Linked DNA regions of Rattus norvegicus. The protein of the gene in region 2 interacts with the protein of the main gene of each other region in a pairwise test. Links are inferred from orthologs where the notes say so. Each region holds a gene or a part of one and is shown on either strand. Other genes may lie near its edges.

Evidence for each region. The genes of interacting proteins can lie anywhere in the genome.
Region 1: the proteins of Prr3 (region 2) and Asf1a interact in binary tests that used the Homo sapiens proteins (3 or more experiments, as listed by UniProt). The two-hybrid records come from large-scale screens. The link is inferred for Rattus norvegicus from reciprocal best matches to the Homo sapiens genes PRR3 and ASF1A.

The regions. Positions count from the first base shown.
Region 1 is NC_086038.1:33,445,019-33,455,042, forward strand, and holds the end of Asf1a (histone chaperone ASF1A), read left to right. Parts: intron 1-845; coding exon 846-1,022; intron 1,023-4,235; coding exon 4,236-4,448; 3' UTR 4,449-6,460; downstream 6,461-10,024. Other genes in the region: DNA helicase MCM9, read right to left, coding at 7,961-8,080, 9,521-9,646. UniProt on the Homo sapiens protein: Histone chaperone that facilitates histone deposition and histone exchange and removal during nucleosome assembly and disassembly.
Region 2 is NC_086038.1:2,797,284-2,806,882, reverse strand, and holds Prr3 (proline-rich protein 3), read right to left. Parts: upstream 9,207-9,599; 5' UTR 9,168-9,206; coding exon 9,068-9,167; intron 8,965-9,067; exon of another isoform or gene 8,730-8,964; coding exon of another isoform or gene 8,659-8,729; intron 8,392-8,658; coding exon 8,329-8,391; coding exon of another isoform or gene 8,218-8,328; exon of another isoform or gene 4,309-8,217; coding exon 4,018-4,308; exon of another isoform or gene 3,459-4,017; coding exon 3,352-3,458; 3' UTR 2,209-3,351; downstream 1-2,208.

The sequences.
Region 1 (10,024 bases), about 31 Mb from region 2:
CCTTTCCTGGCATTTTTAATGTCTTCTAGTTTTGTTGTTTCACTTTCTTAATTCCTTTAGGTTCATTATGATTCAAAACATGATCTTTGGTGTCCTCTACCTAAATAGTCTTTGACTGCATTTAATTTCCACAGTGTTTGTGGCTCAAACACAATATAATTTTCATTTTCTCAAACTTTGCTATAGTTTTTCAGATCCATTGCCCTTTGTACTCACTGTTTGTGTGTATACTTCTTAGTTAGTGGTGCTGGGCTTGAACTGAACCACACCGTGACCTCTGTCTGCTGTCAGTTTTACATGGTTTACTACTGAAGAACCTGAGGGTCTTGGATAGATAGAGGAGGGAACTGATAGAACAAACACTTACTAGAATGGACTCTACGAAACTCAAGTTGGTACATAGTAATTTGGGACTGAAAAATAGGACTGTAAAAGGTTAGGATCACTACAATGATTGATGTGGTTATAAATAATGAATTTTATAATGAATATTATATAATTAATCACCATACAGTAAAGACCAGAAATTATTTTTCTTTAGCTATAATTATGCCTGCAAGTACTGAGTGCACACAGTACTACCACAGAGAAACTTACCCTTATTTTCTAGGTATAAGTGAATCCCACCAAAGAACATTGGCTAGGTGGGTGTGGTGGTGTCCACCTGTATCTCTAGCACTCAGGAGGCAGAAGAGAGTGACTCTAAGGCCAACTAAGGTCTCTAAAGGCCAAGAATAAATCGAAAAGACATCGCACTGACGGTCTCAAGCAGTGCTAGGGTAGCTGTTGCTCACCCGCTAGTCCTGCCGTTCACGGCCTTTGTGTTTCTTTCTGAATTACTCTAGGCTGATGCGCCAAACGCGGGGCTCATCCCAGACGCAGACGCAGTGGGGGTAACAGTTGTACTGATTACCTGCACCTACCGAGGTCAAGAATTTATTAGAGTTGGCTACTATGTAAATAATGAATATACTGAAACAGAATTAAGGGAAAACCCACCAGTAAAACCAGACTTTTCTAAGGTAAGTTTCTTTTCTTCTTTTTCTGGGATATTTTATGTATTTACATTTCAAATGTTATCCCCCCACCCCCTTCTTCTATGAGGATGCTCCTACCCCCTCCCACCTCAATGTTGGCCCTGGCATTCCCCTACATTGGGGGATCCAGCCTTCACAAGACTTAGGGCTTTTCCTCCTATTGATGCTAGACAGTGCCATCCTCTGCTAAATATGCGCCTGGGGTCATGGGTCCCCCCCCCCCCTGTGTACTCATTGGTTGGCGGTTCAGTCCCTGGGAGCTCTGGTGGGGTCTAGTTCCTTGATATTGTTGTTTTTCCTATGGGGCTGCAAAGCCCTTCAGCTCCTTCAGTCCTTTCTCTAACTGCTCCATTGGGGTCTCCCTGATCAGTACAATGGTTATCTGCAAGCATCCTCTTCTGTATCAGTAAGGCTCTAACAGCCTCTCAGGAGACATTCATATCTGGCTCCTGTCAGCAAGCACTTCTTATTTGGTGGCTGTATCTGGGATGCATCCCCGGGTTGTGGCAGTCTCTGGATGATCTTTTCTTCAGTCCCTGCTGCACTCTTTGTTCCTGTATTTCCTCCCATGAGTATTTTGTTTTCCCGTTTAAGAAGGACTGAAGCATCCACATTTTGATCTTCCTTCTTCTTGAGCTTTATGTGATCTATGAATTGTTTCTTGGGTATTCTGAGCTTTTGGGCTCATATCCACTTACCAGTGAGTGCTTACCATGTGTGTTCTTTTGTGACTGGGTTACTTCACTCAGGATCATATTTTCTAGTTCCATCCATTTGCCTAAAAATTTCATGAAGTCATTGTTTTTAATAGCTGAGTAGTACTCCATTGTGTAAATGTACCACATTTTCTGTATCTGGGTTCCTTCTAGCTTCTGGCTATTATAAAACAAGGCTGCTGTGAACACAGTAGAGCATCTTTTGGGTCTATGCCCAGGGGTGGTATAGCTGGGTCCTTAGGTAATACTATGTCCAATTTTCTGAGGAACTGCCAGACTGATTTCCAGAGGGGTTGTCCCAGTCTGCAATGGCATCTTTGTCAGCATCTGCTGTCACCCGAGTTTTTGATCTGAGCCCTTCTGACTGGTGTGAGAGGAGTTTGATTTGCATTTCCCTGATGACTAAGGATGTTGAACATTTCTTTAGGTGCTTCTTTAGGTGATTTCTTTCTTCAGAGGCTTGAAGTTCTTGCCATACAGATCTTTCACTTGCTTGGTGAGATTCACACCAAGGTATTTTATATTATTTGTGGGTATTGTGAGGGGTGTCATTTCTCTAATTTCTTTTTTTTTTTTTTTTTTTTTTTTTTTTTTTTTGGTTCTTTTTTTCGGAGCTGGGGACCGAACCCAGGGCCTTGCGCTTCCTAGGTAAGCGCCCTACCACTGAGCTAAATCCCCAGCCCCTCTAATTTCTTTCTCAGCCTGTTTATCCTTTGAGTAGAGGAAGGCTATTGATTTGTTTGAGTTAATTCTCTATCCAGCCACTTTGCTGAAGTTGTTTATCAATTGTGGGAATTTTTGGGGTCACTGAAGTATACTCTCATATCATCTGCAAATAGTGATAATTTGACTTCTTCCTTTTCAATTTGTATCCCTTTGACCTCTTTTTGTTGTCCTAATTGCTCTGGCTAGGACTTCAAGTACTATATTGAATAGGTGGGATTGCTTCAAGTTTCTCTCCATTTAGTTTGATGTTGGCTACTAGTTTGCTGTACTGGTTTGCTTTTACTATGTTTACGCCTTGAATTCCAAGACGTTTATCATGAAGGGATGTTGAATTTTGACAAATGCTTTCTCAGTATGAGATGATCATGTGGTTTTGCATTTGTTTATATAGTGGATTACACGCTGATGGATTTCCATATATTGAGCCATCCTTACATCCCTAAAATGAAGCCTACTTGATCATGGTGAATGATTGTTTTGATATGTTCTTGGATTTGGTTTTCGAGAATTTTATTGAGTATTTTTGAATCAATATTCATGAGGGAAATTGGTCTGAAGGTGTCTTAGTCGGGGTTTCTATTCCTGCACAAACATGACCAAGAAGCAAGTTGGGGAGGAAAGGGTTTATTCAGCTTACACTTCCACATTGCTGTCCATCACCAAAGGGAGTCAGGACTGGAACTCAAGCAGGTCAGGAAGCAGGAGCTGATGCAGAGGCCATGGAGGGATGTTACTTACTGGCTTGCTTCCCCCGGCTTGCTCAGCTTGCTTTCCTATAGAACCTGAGACCACCCAGCCCAGGGACGGCACCACCCACAATGGGCTGGGTCCTCCCACATTGATCACTAGTTGAGAAAATGCCTTACAGCTGGGTCTCATGAAGGCATTTCCACAACTGAGGCTCTTTTCTCTATGATAACTCCGGCTTGTGTCAAGTTGACACACAAGACCAGCCAATACAGAAGTCCTCTTTCCTTGTTGGGTTTTTGTGTGGTTTAGGTATAAGTGTAATTGTGGCTTCAAAGAATGAATTGGGTAGTGTTCCTTCTGTTTCTATTTTGTGGAATAGTTTGAAGAGTATTAGTATTGGATCTTCTGAAGGTCTGATAGAATTCTGCACTACCTCCATCTAGTCCTGGGCTTTTTTTGGTTGAGAAACTTTTAATGACTGCTTCTACTTCTTTAGGAGTTATAGGACTGTTTAGATGGTTTACTTGATCCTGATTTAACTTTGGTACCTGGTATCTATCTAGAAAATTGTCTATTTCATCCAGATTTTCCAGTTAGTTTTGTTGAGTATAGGTTTTTGTAGTAGGATCTGATCATTTTTTGAATTTCCTTAGTTTCTGTTTTTATGATTCCCTTTTCATTTCTGATTTTGTTAATTTGGATACTATCTCTCTGTGCCCTCTGTTACTCTGGCTAAGGGTTTATCTATCTTGTTGATTTTCATAAAGAATCAGCTCCTGGTTTTGTTATTTGTTTGTTTTGGTATAGTTCTCTTTGTTTCTACTTGGTTGTTTTCAGCCCTGAGTTTGATTATTTCCTCCCCTTACTTCCCTTTTACCTGGTTTGCAAAGGCTGATAGTTCTTTTGCTGTCTGCTATTATGGTCATTGCTTATTATGCTTAAGTGCTTCATTGCTGATCCCTTTGGATATGAATTTAGTCCTCCAAAAAGATGAAAAGAAACACCCAGCTTGCACATGGTAATCTAACTTTCTTAGTACTCACCATTTAAATGTTTCTCTTTCTAGCTTCAAAGGAATATTTTGGCTTCTAATCCCAGAGTCACAAGGTTCCACATTAACTGGGAAGATAACACAGAGAAACTGGAAGACGCAGAGAGCAGTGACCCCAATCTGCAGTCCCTTCTTTCCACAGATGCACTGCCTTCAGCATCAAAGGGATGGGCGACGTCAGAAAACTCACTCAGTGTCATGTTAGAATCCCACATGGACTGCATGTGACACGTGCCATGCCATTAGTACAGATTAAGCTATTAAAACAGAACTATCTCCCTGAAGTTCCGTAAGTACATAGTCAACGTGAAATGTGAAGAATTTGTTTAAAAACATCCTGTAGAAAGTTTATAAGAAAACCAGTATTTGAGCAAATTGTGGAATATAAATACAACTATTTTTAAGGACTTTTTTTCTCTAATGTGTTATTTTATTTGTTCATGAAACTAATCTGATTAAAGCATATATATTATTTTCTTCTCTTTTATATGTAATTAAAGCACTTATAAAAAGAAAAGTTATCAATTCTTAGACTGGGTTGTAAAGGTGTTTTAGCCTCTTGGACAATAAGATTTATCAGCTTTTAAAAGGACAAAGTTTACTTCAACTAAAATGATTTTTCCTGTGAAGATAGTATCCTTATAATTTGACAAGAAAATTTCCATTCTGTAGTAAAAAAGATAGATTTAAAATGGGATTTGAAATCAATCACATGCCACCAGGGTTTTTCTAGGCCATCCCAGTGCATCTTACTACAGTTCACATTAAACTGGACTTCTAGTTTTTATATAACAAATGCGGCTGCCTTTGAAGTCCTTCTGACTATCGTGTATGCTTTCCTACATCTAAAACTGAGAAACTATGATCCTAAGCCATCACTGTCTAGAGAGTCCAACACATAAGAGCAAACATAAGGTCTCTGAAGTGTAAGACTCCATTATGATGGCTCAGATCTGCTCACTCTTTCTGCTTACAGGAATGCTGAACGTGCGTTGCTGGCACCATTACTATTGAAGGGTGATTTAGGAAGGTCTAGTCAGCTTCATCCTGGCTAGCGACTCTAGAGAGTATGTCTTACCTTTTGCAGCCACACTACCCCATATCCTTTGGTTCTCATAATGTGTAAGATCAGGGCATTATCTGTAGTTAACATAACAGCTTAACCACTTTTTTTTTTCTCAGAAGAATAGTTTTAGAAAGGAATTCACCAAATAAATGGGCCAAAAGCTTATTTTCTTTAATGAGAAGTAAATCCTCAAAGTTTTGATCCATTAAATTGACAGTACAATATTCTCAGTTGTTATCAGTGATGATGCCCAGGATAGCCATAGGTTCAAGTTATGCAGTGCCTTCACATCTAAGCTTTTATACTGCACTTTCAAAAGCATTTTGAGGAAAAGGAAGGGGTATTTATTTAAATACAGACTCTATAAGTTGTAATATATTTCTTGCTTTTTTTAAAAGATAAATTTGTGAAACAAAGTCTTGTTAAATGTTAAACTTTGAAATTTAAGACTCCATATTACCCAGTTCATAGATTTTAAAAATAAATATTTCTGGCTACTAAAATGATTTGAAAAAAAAATCTCATTTTGTCTAACTACAATTAGGAGAAAATGTTTAAGACAGTTCAGTGATCAGTACAGTAAGAATAAGTTTGTCAGAAATAAAGATAATTAAATCACCAAGTAAAGCAACTCAGTGCAGTCTTAGATTATAGAACCACTTTGTGATGACATGCTTAGGTCTTTATACCAAACTTTAAATATATGGCCCATAGTCACAAAAGTCGGAGAAATAAAATACTGCCTTTTATTATTTAAATGCAATAGCATTTAAATTTAAAAGTGAAAGAAGAATAGAAACATTTACACATTAAGAACTAAGAAACTAGCATGCAGGGATTTTCCTCCTGATTAGCCTCATTTAAAAAGACATTATGTCTGAATTACAGTTAAAAGGCTTATAGACTCCGCTCCACCCCACTTCTTTTGAGATATGGTCTCTCAACATAGCCCTGGCTGTCCTGAACTTTCCTTAGACCAGTGTAGCCTTCAGCTCACAGACATCCACCTGCTTCTGCCTCCTGAGAGCTGGGATTAAAGGCATTCGACTCCACACCCTGCACCACTTCCTTGTTTCTATCAGTATAAATAAATGTCTGGTGAATACGTACACATACAACACACACATATGCACACACACAGTCCACACCGCTGAAGAGCTAGGGGAGTAGGTTATGATGGTATGGAGTTGAAACATTTCAGAAGTCTGAGGAGGCACACATGCATTTGCTCATTCACAACCCTTTCTGACCCTTCATTTCTGTTCAGTCCATGGGGGCTGTCAACGTGGCCCAGTCGGTAAGGTGCTTGCTGCCAAGCCTGGCTACTTCAGTTCAGTACCCAGGATTCACATGATAGAAACATTCTCCCACAGGTTGTCACCTAACTTCCATATATGCTCACACAAACTAAGTAAATTAAGGGTAATGCAAAATTTTAAGACTATGACATGTTTCCTATCGCAGTCCATAGTATAAAATGCCATATGACCATGCAATGCAAGTATACATTTATATTAGGTTTTTCAAGAAAGTAGCCCTTCGCTGCCCCTACTGTGTGCAGCCTGACTCTTGATGGATTACAGGAGTGCCAAAGCCCACTGACATCTTTGAGTGGGTAAAAAGTAGCAATTAAGTTCCTACAATTACAAAACCTTTACCAACCTTTTTTCTCACCTTTGGATTATGATCTTGACATATGAAATGAGGGAGGAGAGTGCTAATTCACTTTCTATTTATATTATCACTAACACTTGAGAACTTCTTTATTAATAGTGGCCTGTTAGATGGCATAGGCTAGTGCTTGGCATTCCACATGATTGGTTGGCAGTCATTTCATGGAATCATACAATGTCACTCAGCCACAAGGATTTCAAAGTATATAGGGGTGGCTCTTTATTGGCCTTCTCTTTTGGTGTTGTCAACTCACAGAGCCCATCTGACCAACACTTATTAATACAGCATTTACAGTCCCCAGATAGGACTGCTGGGATATTTTTCTTTTGTGATGGGTTTCAGAGTATATTAGATAAGAACTTGGAGAGGAGACTACAGAAGCAAGGTTATCTTAACATGTAATAACACTGGTAAACTATGGGAAACCAAACTCCTATTGTAGAACAGGAGAAATAAAACTAAAAGTAGAAAACATCAAGACACATTTTAAAAAAACAATTTTCCCTAAATTTCATATCACTTTATAACCAGGACAGTCTTGTGTGTAAGAGCTTTTAAATGTACTTGCTGTAGAATTATTAAAATGTATGAAGAAAATTTCTTAGTACATACGTGAAAATATGCTTTCTAAATGCACAAATGTCCCTAAGAGGTATCATTAGGAGTCACTGTTGTCCATGAAAATGCCTTAAACTATATGCTGTCTACCTACTTTGTAAATGAAATCTCCCTGTTTTGATGTTTGTTTGGTAGATCTTTATAAAACGACATCTTTACATTTTCCTATATAAAACTAAGTTCCATACCGAGGACATAAACCTTTTTGAAATATCTTTTTAATTGTACAAAAAGGATGTTACATTTCCTTCCATTTTTGGCAGTAACTTTGAAAAACCTAAACTTACTTGAAATGTATCCTATGAAGGCTACATTTCATAAGGAAATAATTGTGTTCATTTCTATATTAATTTTAAATTATGTAAAAATTGTCATACAGTACCTGCACTAGTAGATCCAATTCCTGTGGTCAAAACAGACCTCGGTGTAATCTTTGCTGCATATTTAAGGAATTGCGATTTCCCTGTGCCAGGATCCCCAACCAATAAAAGGTGAGATTCGCCTAGGAAAAGTAAATGTAAAAGTTCAAAAATTTTAAAAGGACCTATGAATAACATACAACTAATAAAGTATCCCATATGAAATGGCCAATACATTTTATGTGTTATTTTTTGATATATTTTATGCAAGGTTCTTCAAGGAAGGAGTTAAATAGAGACTCTTTAGAAAAGTTATCTGTCACAAATATAGCAATTTTGATTACTGAGTGGATATTTAAAATTTAAAACCTTTTAATAGAGTATATGCTATTTCCAGATGCTTAGACCCATGCGTAACATTTTAAAAATCCTTGACTTACAAAAACTTTCTGGTGTATCTATTTTTAAATCTAAGCTACAGTGATTAAAGCTATCCATACAAGTCATATAAGGTTTTATTCTATTTTTAAAGTACTTCTAAATTTTGGGGGTTTTATAAGTGGTTTATACATATCAAACCATTTTGATTATATTAACTGAATAAAAACATTTTCATTTATGTACGTTTCATTAGCTTAGTGGGATATCTACCTTAAAATGACTCATTTCACACTTAATAGAAATGGACACATGCTCGTCCTATGACAGATATTTTCACTGGACAAAAAATTTCTTTAGTAATAAGTATTTCCTGAGTACATTAATAAACCATTATTTAAGATCAACATTTAGCCAAGTGCCTTGCATATAGCAGATGATCACAATACAGTTTATAAAATGCTTCTGTCCTATGTGGTCTTAGTGTTGGACTAATAGCCTGGCTTAGAGTATCATTTTAGTCTGTGGGGTAACTGGTTAACAGCTCTCTCTCTTGCTTTCTCTCTCGGTCTCTCTCTCTCTCTGTCTCTCTCTGCCTCTCTCTCGGTCTCTCTCTGTCTCACTCTCTGTCTCGGTCTCTCTCTCGGTCTCTGTCTCGGTCTCTCTCTCGGTCTCTGTCTCGGTCTCTCTCTCTCTCTCTCGCTCGCTCGCTCGCTGCACTGGAGTCTGCTGCCACCCAGACATGTTGCACACTTGGAGCAGTCTTTGCTTCAAGTATGACCTACAGCAGCAATCCTGGCAGATGGCGTATCTGCTGTCTACCAGCGGGAGAATCAGCAGGCACAGGGCTCTGAGTAGCACTTGACAGTCACAGATGGAAACCAGCTTGGAGACATTAAGACACACACTCTCATCCCCTCCCTCCAAGGGAGCTCATTGTGGCACCTTTACAGTACATAACCACGGAAGAACTTATCTCTGGTAAATCTGGATATAGACTAAAACTGAAAAATCCATTTAGAAACTACATTAGAAAATAGCTCTAGAGACAGCTTTTAAAATTAATTTCCTGAAGTATACTAAGTAATGGGTTTTATTTAGGCATTTTCAAGTGTGTGTTATTATAACTCAACCCCCAACAAGCAACTTTTGTTGAAGAAAGAAAGGGCCTCCCTTGCCCTCTACATGTATCAGTAGGTACTGACCTCTAACCCTTGTTCCTGCAGCATCAGTTCTTTGAATTCCACCAGCCAGGACCATGGCCACAGCAAGCTTCACTAGATACATCCCAAACACTTGAGGACACAAGCTGGCCAATATTTCATTCCTCCCTTGGAAGTGAGAAAGATCAGAAGTTATCATTTTCCAGAACTTCTACCTGAAATCTCCCTATCCTGTAGCCATTTTCATGTAACACACTGCCAATCTAAAATGATAAAGGCCAAGTCAAATAAGAAGAGGGAATCAAGAGCCTAGCTTAGATTCTGCTTTTTCTTTTTCTATTTGGTTTTTTAGATGGTTCTGCAAAGTAGCCAAAGGTGGTTTCAAATATGTCATCTTGCTCCAGTCTCCCAAGGGTGGGGACTACTGGTCTATGCCACCATACCGCACTGACTTGTTTAGGTTTTAAATTTAATACCATGAAAAGAAAAGTGGTTTCTTTCCTGAGTACTACCTACTCAAGTTTCTATAAATTTGTCACACTGAAT
Region 2 (9,599 bases):
GCTGGCCTGAAACTCTCAATGTAGACCGGGCTGGCCTGGAACTCCTAGAATTCAGCCGCCTCTGCCTCTGCCTCTGGGAGAGCTGGGATTACAGGTCTGCACTATGATGCCTGACTGCCGCTTTATTTAGAACAGTACAGTACACATCTTCAATCATTCTCCACTACTTTCTAATCTTCTTCTAATACTAATACTGTAAACTGTACTTAAAGACACCACAGCATGTCGATTTAGGAAAAAGTAATCTTACTGGCCCTTGGTTGACATGTCACTTAATACCCAGGTGTACAGATAGATATAACCAAGGAACTCCACCCCAACAACCAGAAGCTATTGTGCAGTGGAATCTGGAGTTTTTTGGGTGTGTGATATTTTTGCTGTTAATTGACCTACTGTAATTGCACATAAAACAGTAAGCAGTGAGCAGTTGTAAGTTTTTACAAACATCTCCCCCACTTTTTTTTCTGGAGGAGGAGGCATTTTTTCTGGAGGGTTTCTCTGAGTAGCCCTGGCTGTCCTGGAAACCATTCTGTAGACCAGGCTGGCCATGAATTCAGAGATCTACCTGCCTCTGCCTCTCAAGAAGCATATGCTTTTTAAACCTCAATCAAGACATGGCTGGCTTTTAACTCTAATGAATGACAGGCATAGGAGTTTGGAAGAGGCATTTTCACCAGGAGGTCAGCTCCCACCCTCAGTCATGCTTTTCTTTTCCTTTTGTAGTCTCGTCTTGCCTCAAGTCCTCTAAGTGGCCAGAGGTAACACTGAGTTTCCTATTTTCTTGTCTCCCTTCTGAATTTTGAGATTACATACACCATGTTAATATGCATGTTTTATTTATATGGCCCAAGAGTGGAACCTAAGGCAGCTTCACACATACTAGGCAAATATCCTAAGCACATTCCTAGCTCCCATGATGCTTCTGTCCCAATTCACATTCCAGGATCAACAGATCACAAGCCGTGTCCTAGCACATCTGACATAGGTGGTCACTTTCCCTCCATTTCTCCACATACTTTTTTTTCCTAGTACACCGCTCCTCCTCCCTCTTTCGCTGGCACCTCTGCCCCTTGGGGTCCTGATGTTGATGTACCTCCAAGCTCAATCTTTTGAGTCTTTAAAATGAAATGAATTTTACGCATTTGCTTGCTTATATGCAATGGTATGTGACTGGTGCCCCAAGTGGACAGAAGAGAGCTCCAAATCCCCAAGAACTGGAGTTACAGGCTGCTCTAAGTGGCTGTGGGTCCTGGGTACAAAACTTAGGTTCTCTTCCAGAGCAAATGACTTTTTAACAGTAGAGCCCTCTGGCCCCAAATGCTTTCATTTTGACTGTTTCTAAACATTCGCTTTTCTCCAACTTCAATACTCAAGCCTATGCTACTGTTGAAGCTTATCTGGGTCGTCTTAGAAAATCTCCGTTTCTGGGGCTGGAGACATGGCTCAGTGTGTAAGAAGAGCACAAGTCACTCTTACAGAGAACGCAGGTTCAATTCCCAGCACCCACACAGTGGCTCACAACAACCTGTATCCCTAATCCCAGGGATTCTGATGTATTCTTCTGACCTCCATGGGTAACAGGCACACATTCTACACATACAAACAGGGAGGCAAAATATTTACAAACATAAAGTAGTAAATAAATCTAAAAAAGTATTTTAGAAATCTCCATTTCTAAGTCTGTCCCCCATGGTCAACCTTTTTTTTTTTTTTTTTTTTTTTGGTTCTTTTTTTCGGAGCTGGGGACCGAACCCAGGGCCTTGCACTTCCTAGGTAAGCGCTCTACCACTGAGCTAAATCCCCAGCCCCATGGTCAACCTTTTGACAGTGAGACAAAGTCATTACAAAGATATCACCTACAGCGTTCATGTGAATTACACGTTTTGATTTACAAGGGAAAAATATCACAAAATAAGTGGTAAGTGAGCCACTCTTCAGATTCTGTGTTCAGACAGAAAACAAAAATACAAAAAACCTCAGCTCCAGGCACTGTTGCCAGGCACTGCCAAGACTCCTCCCCTCACTGCTCCTCCTGTGCATCCTTCAGACCTCAGCTCTGTGTCACTGATCTGCTCTCCGCACAGCAACACTTCCGGAGTGTACCTTTGCTTCTGATGAACTAAGGGAATGAATGGACTCCCTAGAAGCCTCAGAGAAGGCTTCCCTGCACCTGCAGAGAAGACTGGAACAGAGAAATGAGAGAAGACACCGGTTTCCACTGTGTTTATTACTAATATAAAAAAAATTAAAAAGAAAACAAAATCATTCTTAGTTCTAGCGCTCTCTCTCCTCTTGCACACATACCTCCTGACCCACTTCCTTAGGGCCTGTTCAAAACCCAACATGTTCACTGCTGTTTTCACAGAAAACACCCAGTGTGAGGGAAGTAAGAGGGTCAGAGAGGTGACAGACAGTACTGTTCAGGTTCCATCCAGAGACAGGCGGAGATTCACAAAGTCAAATCAAAGGGCTGGTGGCCTCACAATGACAGCCTAACTAAAACGGGTCAGGCAGGAGCTGTGTTGGGAGGCCCGTCGGAAGCTTTCCAAGACATCACTGGCCTGTGTCAGACCCAGAATACCAGAGGGCACAGAACAGGAGGGCACGACGGGGAGGCAGTCTGAAGATGTCTCACATCCTCCCGTTTTGGGAGGTAGGTGAACTCTAGAGGGCACCAAGAGCCTCACTTGATTTGGCAGAAAAACTTACTCTAGTGTTGGGAAGTCACAAAAAACGCCACAGACACCGAGGAAGGCTACAAGGGGCGTACAGTTTCACAAAGCACAGTGACCACAGGCCTTAGCGGTGGGGCTCATGCTACGGACAGAAACTAGGACGTCCAAAAGCAGGTGGAGGCTGTTTAGGGAGCAAGTCTGTACCAGTCACTCAAACTCAACCTCAAGCCGGAAAACCTAGTGCACTTCCTGGCAGCTGCAAACACTGGGGTTTTACGTGAAAGGACTTAAAACAAGCAGCTAGAGGATAAGAGACTGCTCCAGGGTTCTTGGGAACTGAGGGCAATACTGAGGGAGAGGTGGACAAATGCACAAGAAACAGCACCAAAGGTTTCCTGTGGAGCAGTCATTTGGCAGAGGGGAAGATCCAGGAGGCAGTGGAAGGTAGCAAGATGGGGTCCTGAAGGTCTCTACAGCCTGGATCAGAGGACAGTGTGTACTGTGCACCAGTGACAGTCACAGCTCTGGACCCCAAATGGGAGAGATGATGAAAGGGGTGGACGTGCCACTGCCTGAAGGTGACAGAAGAGCCTTCAAGTAGCTATAATGGAGCCACAGAGAATGCATGGCCACTAGGTCAGAGGGCTCCTTCCAGCCTGGGTGGGAAGGCACAGTCTTACAGAGGAGGTCCGTTGACGCCTGGATGGTAGAAGGCACAATGGTCTTCATATCGACAGTGGCCCTTCTTAGAAAAGTGTCGGCAGACAGGGCGGTCAGATTTGTCTGTGAATAAGGGAAAACAGCAGCTTAAAACCTTTTGAGAGCTGGGTGAGGAGGCTCACACCATGGCCCCAGCCTTCAGAGGCCGAGACAGAAGACACAAGTTTGAGGTCAACTTGTCCACCCACCCCTAATAAAACACAACTCTTCCAACTTGATGCCCTAAAAATCCTAAGAAAGAAAATGTATAGAATGCAGAGAGAAAGCCAAGGTTTCTACCATATACTGTTTACAAGTATTTTGGCTTTTTCTTTCTACTTTTGGTGCTAGGGATAGAACACAGGGCCTCAGGCATGATGCACACCTTGTTCAATCACTGAGCAAGACTCCCAGATCACCAAGTATTTTGGAAAGACAGTCTTTCTGAGGGAAGAAAAGTGTTCAGGGCTATTGGTACCTCTTGAGGCAGCTAAGAAGCTGGTAGTTCAGCGCTAGAGGACTCCTCAATACAGGTAAGGCCCTGCATTAATTCTCAGTGCTGCTCAGTGAGAGCCTAAAGGAGAAGATTCCCAGGCCTGCTGGTATACAGGCCACGGCACAAACATAACAAAGTGGGCCTTACCTTCCATCATCGGGGGGCTGTCCTTAGGTGGGTAGGTGTTCTTGACAAGAGACCAGCTTTTGAGCCTTCTTGGATTTCTTGGCTCTTGGTAAAAGATTTCCCTAGAAGGACCCCCATGGCCTGGCCCAGGAAAAGGAGGTTCAGTATTGACACCCCACCAACCACGACCGTATGGGCTAGACCGAGGACCAAGGCCTCCCCGAATGTGGCCTCTACCCCGGGGAGGAGGTGGGAGACTCAGCAGTGGTGGAATCATTGGTCCCCTTGATCCTGGAGGACCCCTGTGGAAAACTACAGAGAGAAAGACAGGGAGGTGATTGCTGGGCAGAAGCCCCTCAGTCCTGACAAAAGCCCCTCCCCTGCTCACTACATACAGCAAAGCTCTCTGACACACCGCTTTTTTTTTTTTTTTTTTTGGTTCTTTTTTTCGGAGCTGGGGACCGAACCCAGGGCCTTGTGCTTCCTAGGTAAGCGCTCTACCACTGAGCTAAATCCCCAGCCCCTGACACACCGCTTTTAAGTACGCAAACCAACTACTACCTCTTCCCCTGGGTTTCTATTGCCCATACACAGAGATACGCTTTCTTGGCGCTTTTTAGCCCCTGGTGTGGGGAACTGAACCTAGGACCTTGTATATACTAGGCAACTGACTACTCTTTATTACTGAGCTAAATCTCCAGCCTCAGAAAAGCCATCCTTCTATATGGCCTTTCCTCTCCTGGAAAGTTGCCACCATCCTGACTTCTAACATGACAGGTTGTGGATCTTCCTGGCTCTAACTCTGGGCTCTTCTGATAATCATGAGAGTCAACTTGTCTGGGCCAGTAGTAGATGATTTTTTAAATTTAAAAGTATAGTATCCAGGCTGGAGAGATGGCTCAGCGGTTAAGAGCACCCAACTATTCTTCCAGAGGTCCTGAGTTCAATTCCCAGCAACCACATGGTGGCTCACAACCATCTGTAAAGAGATCTGATGCCCTCTTCTGGTGTATCTGAAGACAGCTACAGTGTACTTATATATAATAAATGAATAAATCTTTAAAAAAAAAAAAAGTATAGCATCCTATTACACGGACTTATGTGCTCTACTGAGGATGGACATGTGGGTATTAAGTGTGTGGCCACAATAAACAATGCTACGAACATTTCTTTTTTTTTTTTTTGCTTCTTTTTTTCACAGCTGGGGACCGAACCCAGGGCCTTGCGCTTCCTAGGTAAGCGCTCTACCACTGAGCTAAATCCCCAGCCCCGCTACGAACATTTCTATGTGTAGTATAAGTTTCTGTTCAGACTACATGTGGCAGAGGAATTGCTCAGTAAGAACAGTGTAATCAATTTTAATCTTAACTTTTAATTTAATTTTAATCTTAGTGGTGTATCAACTTATACAGCCCCCTCAGAGGTGGCGGGCGCTACAGCTTCCAAGCATTCCAAGGGTCAGCCTTTCTCATTCGGTTCATTTGTTGTATGTGAGAAACAAGAATATGTATGCTCACATATCACATGCGTGTGGTGTCCTTGCAGACCAAAAAAGGGTGTTGGAACTAGCCCTGTCTGCTGCCTACTTCCACTAGACCGTGGGCCGCTGAAAATGAACCTCGGGTCCTCTCTAACAGCAATCCACTTATATTTAGCCTGAAGAAATAGATTTCTAAAACTTTAGATCTCATATGTGGGTGTTAGGGATGTGTGTACAGGTATCGTGCTGCATGTGTGACAGAGAGACAAGTCGTTGAGTTTGGATCCTGTACTACTTGGGGCCAAGGATTAAAGTCAGGTTGTCAGGCTTGGGGGCAGGCACTTTTACCTGTAGAGCCATCTTGTCAGCCTGACTCACCTCAACTATTAAGTGTAAGATTCAATACTGTAAGTAACTGTTGGGAAACAGAATCCCAGGGCCCTGTACTGTAAACCAGAGACCAAACAGAAACCTCTAACCACCCCTTTCTTTACATCTCTAACAGCCCTAGTAACTCACACCCTGATTGTTCTGTGAGTCTGACTCCCGACAGCTCATGTGTTTACCCTCATGTGCCCATTTTCTTAATACAGTGTGCTCAGGCCCACCCATGATGCGGCACTAATGCCATTTTCTTCCTTTTAAGACAAAACAATATTCCACTGAGTGCATATATTTTGTTAGATTGATGGCACCCTGGGCTACATAACAAATCCAAAAAGACAAGCCTGGTGTTGCCTAATCCAAGAAGTTGGAAAGCAGAGGCAGGCAGATTCTCTCTGCATGCCAGTCTGGTCTGGTCTGTATCGTGAGTTCCCAACAGCCAAGGCTACACAACGAGGCCCTGTTGCTAATAAATAAATAAATTAACCAAAACCCAACAAAGTCGAACAAAAACTCAAATCTCCAAAGACTATGCTTTCATTTCTTGTAACTATAAACCCAGAAGTGGAGCTGGACTTATTTGCTTTCTTAAATAGGTCTCTATGTAGCCTCATGATACCATAATTCTCCTGCCTCACCCTCCAAAATTGTGGACATAGGCTACTGTGCTTGGTCTTAATTTTCTTTTAGTATAGAATAGAGTTTATTCAGGACATGGGGAGGGGAGTCAAGAGAGTAGTAGAGGCAGAGAGAGAGGCGAGAGGAGAGGGAGAGGGGGAGGAGAGGGAGAGGGAGATATTTGATGTAATTCGCTTATAAATACTGCCTTTACAACTAATATACATGTGTGTATCCACAGAGGCCAGAGGCTGACAGGGTCTCACTGGACCTGGAATGTTCTTAGTCAGCCATACTTACTAGCCAGCAAGCCCTAGTCTGTCTACCTCTGCCTTATCATGGTGTTGGGCCCAGCTGTTTTTTACATGCTTTTGAAGTAAGTAATCAACTGGACCACCTCCCCAGTACCACACCCCCCTCCCAGTTTTACTAGTACAGACGGGTGTCTTACATAGACAGGCCAGGCTAACACTGAACTCTTACCTTTCCTGCTGCCCCTATGGCTAGGCTGTGCCATGCTGTCTAAGGCTGTGAGACTCGTTATTTTTTGTAAGAATGTTTACAGTCTGCTTAGAACCCATGTTTGTCTGGTATGACTACCATGACAAAAATCAGTTTTTTTTTTTTTTTGTTTTTTTTTTTGGTTCTTTTTCGGAGCTGGGGACCGAACCCAGGGCCTTGCGCTTCCTAGGCAAGCGCTCTAACCACTGAGCTAAATCCCCAACCCCCAAAATCAGTATTTTTTTTTTTTTAAAGGTTTATTTATTTATTGTATATAAGTACACTGTAGCTGTCTTCAGACACACCAGAAGAGGTCATCAGATTTCATTACAGATGGTTGTGAGCCACCATGTGGTTGCTGGGATTTGAACTCAGGACCTCTGGAAGAGCAGTCAGTGCTCTTAACCGCTGAGCCATCTCTCCAGCCCAAAATCAGTATTTCTAATGAAGTTCCTACTTCTACACAAAGGATGTCCAGTTGAGACAACACTGCTTACTCAGAACCACTTCTTTGATTTCACCTTTACACAGAATTCCATGTTCATGTGTCTAGAGGCCTCTGATTCCTCTCAGACAGGGTCTCATGTAGCCCAGGCTAGCTGGTCTCAAATTTGCTATGTAGGTGAGGCTGGCCAGGAACTCCTGATCTTCCACCAGTCTCTCAAGTATTAAAAACTTTATGTTTGGTTGGGGATTTAGCTCAGTGGTAGAGCGCTTGCCTAGCAAGCGCAAGGCCCTGGGTTCGGTCCCCAGCTCCGGAAAAAAAAGAACCAAAAAAAACAAAAACAAAAAAAACCAACCCCCCCCCCCAAAAAAAAAAACCAAAAAACTTTATGTTGATATTCTGTGAAGACCACCATGTCATAGCTACTGCAGCTTTTTACCAAATCTTGCTATGCCCTCTTGTTTTGGTCTTGGTAGTATTCCATTTAGAGCCTCTAAAACAGAGATCGTTTATTTTATTTTTCAGAGTTGAGGACCGAACCCAGGGCCTTAGCAAGCGCCCTACACTGAGCTAATCCCCAACCCTGATCGTTTATTTCTAAACACACAAACTAGAGATAGACCTAGGAGTTAATCTGGAAGAAAGTAACATTTTGACAACACTGTTTCCAAACGGTTAACATATGATTCCTCACTTAGGTACACAATCCCTGGATTTTTTTTTTTTCTTTCCTTTTTCTTTTTTTCGGAGCTGGGGACCGAACCCAGGGCCTTGCGCTTCCTAGGCAAGCACTCTACCACTGAGCTAAATCCCCAACCCCAATCCCTGGATTTTTAAGTCTTTGATTTTCCTCCGTCTCTTCTCCAGGGCTTAAAACACGAATCACGGCCCAATTTCTCCTCACCTGACTTGGGATCACCAGGCTTTCCGTTAGCCATGGGGGGAGGGCCCAGAAGGCTGGGTGGTCCTAAGAGCAGACATGAAAACACAGTCGTCAGAACGGTGCAAAGGACTGATCGCCTCGTCCTTACTTGGTCTTTAACACTCAGTTTTTACCCAGTAAAGTCATAAATCCATTCAGCAGTGCCGCAAGCTCTCACCCCGTCCATCTGCCCTTCCCTCTGCAGAGTTGTTTGAGATTCCATCAGAGGGTAACAGAGGTCTCTAACAGCTCTTTCCTCACAGTGCTGCATCCACAACATGCCCAGTGATTCCACATACCCCAATCCCTCACCTTAACTGTTGGCCCATCATAGTTTTTTTCTCCTCTCCTTCCCTCGGGGGAGTAGTTCACAGAAGGCTGCACTTTGACCTAACCAGTGGAAGTGTGGTCACAAATTGTCTTCCCGGTCATCACAATCTGTAATATCGCTGCCGCCCCTCTCCCCCGCCATTCTGCGGTTGCGCAAGCCAGAGGTTTAGCCGCCACCTCCCCTGCCTTCTCCAGAAAGGATTAGGAGCCAGACTGAGGTTGAGGGTTCAAGCAAGCTAAGTCCTCAATCCAGGTTCTACCAGGAGCCCTCCCCTCCCACCCCACCTCCACGCGTGCGTTCTTCCTCCTTCCGTTGGAGCCTCCTCCCCCGCACTTCATTCTCGCCTAGCCCCCGGCCCGCTGACAGGCGTGTGCACGCCCTGCCCCTCACCCATGGGGCGCTCGTCCTCCTCGTCTCCAGGCTCGTCCCGCTCGGACAGTGCGAGATGCTGCGGCGGCTGCGGCTGGTTCTGCTTCTTTCGTTTCGGCATAGCGGCTGCGGCAATGGCTGCAGCAGGATTTGAGGGCAGTGAGGAGGGGGCACACTAGCTTTCCTTCCGCTTCCGGGTGAGCGGTGGGCCCGGTGACCGAGGCTCCCGCCATGCCACTTCCGGGAGGTCGGGGATGTGCTTTGGCGATTCGCTCCTGCAAGGTGCCTCGCTCACCCTGCCGCGCGTAGGGAAAGCTCTGCTCCCCTTGTGCAATTCCTCCCCACGTGGAAAAGCACCACCGCACTGCAGTGAGACACTGGACAGGCTTCGGACCTCTGCCCGGCACGCGTGAAGCCTGTCGCACCTTAAGATCGCCACATCCGGTCCCCCGGTTACTATGGCAACACCTACAGCCACAACTGCGTGCTCTCCGACCTCTCTCCAAAAGTCCTTGTCCCGCTGGCTTTTTTTCTCCTCTCCCACGCTCGCACG